Styela clava: one gene and its partner. The protein of the gene in region 1 purifies or fractionates together with the protein of each later gene. This does not show direct contact. Links are inferred from orthologs where the notes say so. Each region holds a gene or a part of one and is shown in the gene's direction. Other genes may lie near its edges. The genes, in order: tRNA (adenine(58)-N(1))-methyltransferase non-catalytic subunit TRM6-like and tRNA (adenine(58)-N(1))-methyltransferase catalytic subunit TRMT61A-like.

Region 1 (3,932 bases):
CGATTTTGTTGGCTCGGTTCGTCTTGGTTATGATCATTGATGTATGCATCAAGTTCACCGATTGCTATATCATGTTGCTTTAGATGCCTAAAGTTGAAAATGAAATGTCGGTAATAGTGATACCAAAACTCGAATTTAACGGCAGATTGTGCTTGATAGTGTTTTTGAGAGAATCCGCTTAAATCAGAGCCTCATGCATTAAAAGAGTGAAGGTGACACGCATTTGATTATTTAAAAAAATGAAATTGAAATTTTAATTGGGTGACAATCATTAAGTTAACCATTTTAAAATACGAATCAGTTAAAAGAAAATTTGTATTTATATATAATTGCTTTTTTTTAATAATTTGATACATATATCAAACTTCAAAATGAGGGATTATTCCCGCCCGCAACAAAAAGTACAGCTGTTCATATTGATCCCAGTCCATATAAGAACCTATGGCTGTTTTTGTCATATATTATTGAAATTTGTTTATATATTATTGAAATAGGTGATCAGCTGATCACATCAATAAGTATTAATGAAATATTCATAATAATAATAATAATATGAGATCACTTTAACAATTCATACGCACATTGCAAGACAAGAATCCACATTCGATTGAGAGGTGAACAACGATAAGACATTTCTGTAGAAGAACGGACCCAAGTAAATGAAAAAAATACAAGCTGTAATCCCAAATGCAATAGTTCTTCGAGTCACCGGCAAAGATCGCAATGAAAAACTCAACGTCATCTGTGAAATATTCTGCTGAGCCATTGGAATTTGCAATTTTGCAGCACTAGGACGAATCTTAAGCATGTGACAACAAGTCCTACTATAACCCTAAAATCTTCAAAAATAGGTTTAAAATTTATATCTTATTTTGTTGTTCTGAGTCAGTTCAACAGACAGCCTTGTCAAAAACGTAGAATGCAATAGAGCAATGAGACTATTTACAGATTTACAAAATTATATTTGCAGCAGATCTACATGAGATATAAAATGGTTGACACATAGCTGAAAAATGACGAGCTTCTGAATGATTAGTTTTTTCTAAAGGTTCTACAAATCGGACAAATTGGATTATTCAATACGCAAATAACAAATAAAATAACACTGGATAAAGACATAATATGTCCATATTATATTATGTACAAAGTAGACAAACACAATCTGAACACTAGCCTGTTACACTCCACTGGCCAATTCGAAGCTTTTATTCAAGCATAGCACCTGTTCCGAAATGACATAAAACAGACTGCACTTTCTTTTCCTTCCCATAAACAAATTTCAAAACTCAACATTAAAAATTGCTGTTGTAATCCAAAACTAAAAACTTATCCTTTTTGACAATCGTAGAACTAACGCACAACTAAAGTCTTGTGTTGATTATTATATTATGGGAGTATGGAAGGCGCTGCAAATCACTTATATTTGTCTTGACTCTGGGTATTCAGCAGCACAGCCATATCATAAGTCAGTAAGTCGCGTCACATCATAAGATCACAACATTGCAACGTTTACCAGGCGAGTTCCCGTCCATTACGTCACAGCTAGATATCATCGAAACGATTCAAAGCACATGTTGCACATCACATTGTAATAAGTGCGCTTTCCTGCTGCGCTGCTATTTTGTCTGTCTATAGTTTTAGATATGGATGTTATCGCTGAAAATGTTTCTGTGGTTTTACAAAGAGGAAAAGTGTTGAAAGCGATTAAACTAGAACGCGGCAAAAAGATTGTATTTGAAAAGCTGCATTTCAAACCAGATAACGCCATCGGACAATCATACAATTCGTGGTTTCAAGGTAAATCTTTGGATTCTATTAACACGCAGTGCTTTGTTTTTCTGGTCGGACGTGGCTTATAGTTGAATTATATCAGAATTACATGAATTAACAGTATCTGCATGATTTATTATTGTATTAGAGGGGTCAGACAGACATTTTTGTATGTCAATATGTTTTATTAAACATTTTCCCCTTCCCCATATTTTATTCTTAGCCTCCCTAAAAGGCACATGCCGTAAATCGAATAAAGATTTCAAAATAATAAACAACTATTTATGTTATCTTGCATATGGCATCTTTCTTATAATAATTATCACCACTGGCAGTGAACTATAGGGTTTTGCATAATGTTATCTGATATTATTCTAGAATCAATTCATAAAATAACAGTATAGCTATTTGTCTTGTTGGCGTAAACTTTTTTAATTCATATTATTTTATTGATCCTATAGTGGAAGATCCTTAGTGGCAACAGTGCTAAAGTATTCCATACCGAAAAATCATTATTGAGAGATGATATATTTTAGTATCTTCAAATCAACTTGAGAAGGTTGAAGATGTTATAACTCGCGGCAAACCAGAACAAGCTGCTTCAGGAGACAATGGTTCTGCGGAAAAGCCAAACTCAGCACAAGATAACAGGTCAATTTATTTTTTTTATTTACTCAATTTTTAATTTGAGAACGATGAAACCCATTTTATTGGTAAAAATTTAGAAACAAGAATACCATGCCATAATAATTTTATGGAAATTTGAACTTATCATGACATCGACCTAGTTTTGTGACTCACCAAAAGGCTCTTATGTCTTTGTAGGTTTGCTTATGATTAATCCTTAGTAATTTCTGAACCGGCTAGGATGAATCTTTGTCTATGGGGAATAATTAGGTACTCATCACCAGACATCATGTTTTATTAAATGAACAGATTGCTAGAAGACACTCACGGAAAGTCTCAGTCACTCAAACGAGAAGAGATTGTTGGCATGAAATCAAGTGGAGCAAAGGGAGAAGAAATAATAGAGGAAATTGTTAAAAACAGTGCGACTTTCTCCAGCAAGACAATTTATTCACAGAAAAAGTACTTACAAAAGAAGAAATTAAAACATTCAACAAACATTAGGATATTGAAGTGAGATTATTTACTATTTAAATTAACCGGATAATTAGGTTTAACAACCATTCGTAACTTATCATTTTAGGCCATCAGCACGACTTATCTGCAAAATGTATGAAAGCAGGGAACCAGCTAAAATTTGTCACATGAGGATTGACACTGTATCGCAAATCATTAATTTGGCAAATATACACTCAGGCTCAAAAGCTATCGTAATCGAAACATGTTCCGGTCTAATTCTGAGTCTCGTCATGCAACGCTTAGCAGGAAAAGGTAATCTTATTGCATGATTGCAGATTCTGGCAAAGCAATGATAATGTTAAAAGGTATTGATATTATTGGAGTTTCACACTCCTTCCAACACTTGTCTATCTGCATCATTGTGATTGTGAGATTTTGAGCAGGCACCATAGCTAGCAAAGTATGATTATAGTAGCTATGATTATCCCAAATGGCTAACGCCAGCTATCTGTCTTACGTCGGGAAGGAATTTGGGATTGGATTCTAAATGACATAACTTGAGTCTTTTCAGCGAAAGGGGCTAAACTGAAATCCGACTCATCTTTCTGCCAGAGACACTTGACTCCGACACCCACTCAAATTTATTCTTTTTACTGTTGTATAAAAAATCTATTATAACTCAAAAGAGCGGCACCTCGACTTAACATTCAGATGGCCCGCAATTGGACCTTAGAGGACTCGAGACTTGGGGTTTGAAGACTTGTACACAACACTGGACTTCAATGACTATCTTTTAACCATATAATACTTTTACAGGTTGTGTGGTGAATCTACATACTGGTGAAACTCCGACAAATTTTCATGCTATAACACACATGAACTATGACGACTCATATTGGGCAACATTGAATTCGCTCCCTTTGAATAAAGTTGGCCCATTGCTGGCAGGAAAAGATTTCAAAGATGTTATTGGAGATATAGATCAACTTGAAAAGGAGAAGACTGCAAGTTATAGCATCAAAGAAACAGAAAAAGATGGTAAAATGTCATCATCCATTGAAGGTAGCAAAACTTCT
Region 2 (3,932 bases), on another chromosome or scaffold:
AAATCTCAAGATTTTGTGCTCTGCAGTGATTCTGCTATCTTCAAGCTCTCTTCGTAAGCTTCTTACCTTTACATGATATTGAAGCTTGCAGATCAAAGAGCAAGAATATTTCATTCGAACATACATACAGCACTTAATGATTTAGGTCAGGGGGTAAATTTCTAAATAGTTGGGATTGTTATTACACTCTCATTGTGGAGATGCTGCCAAGAAAAGATCGTATATTTACAAATACAAGGTGGTAAGAAACCTCCCAGGTGGGCAATGCTAGAGTAAAGGTTGAGAACCCCTTGTTATGTACTTGAACTCTAGATGGGCTGGTCTGAAAATTCTAATTCAATGTACAACACTGTTCTTAAGGTAGTAAGCTCGGGATTAGAACCCAAGATCTTAAGTCTGTGATGTCAATATAGTTGGGTGAAAGGCTTCAAGCACTAACCATTGTGCCCTTTTAAGCAGTTGGTTCACCACATGCTAAGTCTGGGCCATCTAAAGTTGTGGCTTTTGTTTATATATCCCACTCAGTGGTAGAATTCAAAATCTCCATGAGTGCTTGTACAGTAATGACCAATATAAAAGGGACTAGAAAAATTGCTTTAATGATTTGATTCCTGATGTGTAGTCATTTTCATTCTTGTGCTGGCATCCTTCCATTATACAGGGTGGCCCAAAAGTAGGTATACAGTTATTTTATTTATTTTTTATTACCTTCCAAGCAGCTAGAAAACTAATGTAAAATTCACACTAGATTTATTTTTAAAAAAATGAGCAATTTTTGTGGTACTTTACAAGTAACATAAAGTGATTTGCAGGTAGCTTCAAAGCATATAAAATAGTTCAATAACTGTTCACCTACTTTTGGGCCACCCTGTATGTATGCGAAGTGAAAAAGCGCAAGTATGTGTAGTTTCCGCCTTGTGTAACCCCCACTGATATGTAGTACTGAACCATGGTTGAATGAAATAAAAAAAAATAATCTGTCTGAAGGTAAATAAAGTATGTGTATTAAGGTTCTAACACTGATCCTAATTTACAGTTTCTAAATAAAAAATGAGTTTCAATAAATATAAAAGTCATGTGGAAGAAGGAGACACAGCTATTGTCTATACTGGCTTTGATTCTATGTTTCCTGTGACTGTAAACAGAGGCAAAACGACTCAAACGAAGTACGGAGCAATAAAACATGACTGGCTGGTTGGACATGAATTTGGTGCAAAATATCAATGTTCTAAGGTAGATTGAATATTTTTTTTAATCCACGTCATTGTAGAAATATAAGGTTCGGTGGGTTTTTATGTTTCAGCAATGTCAATGGTGTCAAGTTCTAGGAATATCTTTGCCATTGCTCTTGTGCAAAAGTTTGTTGGTTTGAATCCTGTATGGCAGGGCTACTCAACTATTTTCACCAAAGGTCCGTTTAAAAAACTTCAAAATTACTGGGGTCCGGACATTACAGAAAATTTATTTCATTGAATAAACGAGACTTCAAATGCAATATTAAATTAAATACAAGAGCAATGAATGGCTCACAAATGTTGCACATCGGTAGCTGCGTATTTAAATCGTATCAAAGTCATCTAAAACTTTATAAACGTTGCTTATATTGCCAAAATATATAAGCAGAGGCGGTCCAAATTAAATGGTCGAAAGGTCCGGATTTGGACCGCGGCCTGCCAGTTGAGTAGCCCTGCTGTATGGTATAGTTGTGTGTAAAATATTTCAAAGCTGAACTTCTTGTTGTGCTAGGGTGCTTCCTTTTTAGGGCTGATTGAATACATGCATCTGAATAACATCGGTCGTTGACTAGATATTGAGCACTGCCAAATAATCAAGCCATCTCATTGGCTTTCATCTATCCTATGTTACATATAAAACTTATTCATACTATCACACCTGGCAATTTTTTTTTAGAATCTCCTGGTGCAATGTTTTTCCGGAGTATACATTCTCCATTTTTCAAATATACCATATTTATTCCACTAGTTGGCTGACTAGAGTTTTTTGTTTAAGGAGGGTAGACACCAGTGTGAAAAAAGCCTACCAGGGCTGGCCTACTAGCTACATTTCAGTAAATTTCCAAGTAGTGGCAATTTTCTTCTAGAATATTCTGATGTGTAAGTGTTAAAAAAATACAATCCTAATCTTTTCCAGGGTTGGGTATACATTCTCCATTTTTTAAACATACCCTAATTATTTCACTAGATGGCTGAAGAGATATTTTGGCTTGAGGGGGTAGACATCAGAGTACTCCTGAAGCATGTGAACCAAGCTGGCGGACACCGAAACGTAGTATGTGTATCAGGTTAAGGTTAGGCCAGAATTTTAGGTACAAATACTATAGGAGTCACTTGGCTAGTCCCCGAACTCATAGCAGGACTAAAATTGGAATAAAATTATGGCCTAACTCTAACCTGATACACATACTGCGTACCGGCGTCTGCCATCTTGGTTCACGTACTTCAGGAATCCCGAAATCAGTGTGAAGAAACACTATAACATTGATCTTTTTTCTAGGGTTGGGTCTACATTCTCCATCCTACACCTGAGCTGTGGACGGTTAGTTTGCCACATCGCACTCAGATATTGTATGCCACTGATATTGCTATGGTTACTATGCAGTTGGATTTGAAGCCTGGATCAGTAGTTTGTGAATCAGGTGAGCCCACATAATTTTTATACATTTGTTCTTTTATAGGCACGATAGCCGTAACGATTTAGAGCAGTGGTTTCCAACCTATTCATTGCTATGGGCACGTCTGATGATGTCAGAATGTTGTGGAGCCATGACTATTACAGGGGATATGGTTTACATATTTATCCCGGGGGAGAGAAAAGCCGATAAGACGACTTAATGATATGGCGAACCCCAGCCTCTCGTCTGGTTTCCAGGTCAGGTATGGGATTAGTTAGCCAGTTATTTGTTTTCGGAAGCATGGACTTGATGGTGGAGGAAGCCGTAACCGACCAGCGGTTACGTGAACCACCCTACAGCGGCGAGGAGTCCAGCAATCCTCTCGCACATGATCATCCCCGCATGGAATTCGAACCTGCAATCCCACGAAGGGTAATCAGAGATGCGGTGACGAGCGTATTCCTTAACGCTTAGCACGATGTGCCACATCGCCGAGCTAATATGAAAAAGCTCTATTGGAAACATTTTCTTGCATGCAGAGGATCAAGCCCAATGACAAACAGTGTCAAATGTCTCGTTAATCAATGGATGGCTCAATTTTTTAATTAAATAAAATGATTATGCTTATAACCAAGAACTTGTGTCACCCTATAGACCTGACATTGACAAATCACAGCCCGTAGGCCAAATCCGGTCGTTGGGTAATTCAATCTGGCCCGCCTGATGCTGCCACAACCAAACTAAAACAAAATTTTGATGTTTTAGCTGAAAAATAGCTCAAGGAATTTGTTGATATTGCGATTAATGTTGGTCAAAGCTTTTTGCTTTCCACTTTTGCTTTTGTAACACTGTGAAAATTGTTCATAAAATGTGACTTTTACCTTACTGTTACCTGCCAGACTGGGCAAAATTTTTGGCCTTGTTATGACAGTTTATTTATTATAACCAAAATTATGGCTTTAAGAAACTAAAAACGCATCTTAACCTAAACACAAGAACATGCAACATAATTACATCAGGTCACTAAGTATAGCCAAACTTAATCGGACTACCGTCTAATACTCGTAACTAATGCAGTAAGGCAAATGCAGTCCGTTGTCGCTTGACGATAATCAGAGATCACAACACAAAGAACGATAATGTAATAATGTTTTAGGGTGAATATCTCTGATTTGAACTCCACCTAATAAATTTAAATAAGGATGTTAGAGACTGGACTTTCCAAAATCAATGGCTCCTAAATATAAGGGGCTTGTGCGAAACCTAATTTGGAATGAATGTTTGAAGACACCTTCTTATA

The links.
Region 2: the proteins of tRNA (adenine(58)-N(1))-methyltransferase non-catalytic subunit TRM6-like (region 1) and tRNA (adenine(58)-N(1))-methyltransferase catalytic subunit TRMT61A-like purify together in Homo sapiens (affinity purification with mass spectrometry; 4 studies listed by BioGRID and IntAct, counting the BioPlex papers as one, with this or other methods). This does not show direct contact. The link is inferred for Styela clava from reciprocal best matches to the Homo sapiens genes TRMT6 and TRMT61A.

The regions. Positions count from the first base shown.
Region 1 is NC_135258.1:11,834,432-11,838,363, forward strand, and holds the start of tRNA (adenine(58)-N(1))-methyltransferase non-catalytic subunit TRM6-like, read left to right. Parts: upstream 1-1,202; 5' UTR 1,203-1,643; coding exon 1,644-1,797; intron 1,798-2,306; coding exon 2,307-2,421; intron 2,422-2,706; coding exon 2,707-2,910; intron 2,911-2,980; coding exon 2,981-3,168; intron 3,169-3,672; coding exon 3,673-3,932. Other genes in the region: uncharacterized protein KIAA2013 homolog, read right to left, coding at 1-87, 582-808. UniProt on the Homo sapiens protein: Substrate-binding subunit of tRNA (adenine-N(1)-)-methyltransferase, which catalyzes the formation of N(1)-methyladenine at position 58 (m1A58) in initiator methionyl-tRNA.
Region 2 is NC_135255.1:18,094,189-18,098,120, reverse strand, and holds the start of tRNA (adenine(58)-N(1))-methyltransferase catalytic subunit TRMT61A-like, read left to right. Parts: upstream 1-1,015; 5' UTR 1,016-1,050; coding exon 1,051-1,233; intron 1,234-2,514; coding exon 2,515-2,656; intron 2,657-3,932. UniProt on the Homo sapiens protein: Catalytic subunit of tRNA (adenine-N(1)-)-methyltransferase, which catalyzes the formation of N(1)-methyladenine at position 58 (m1A58) in initiator methionyl-tRNA.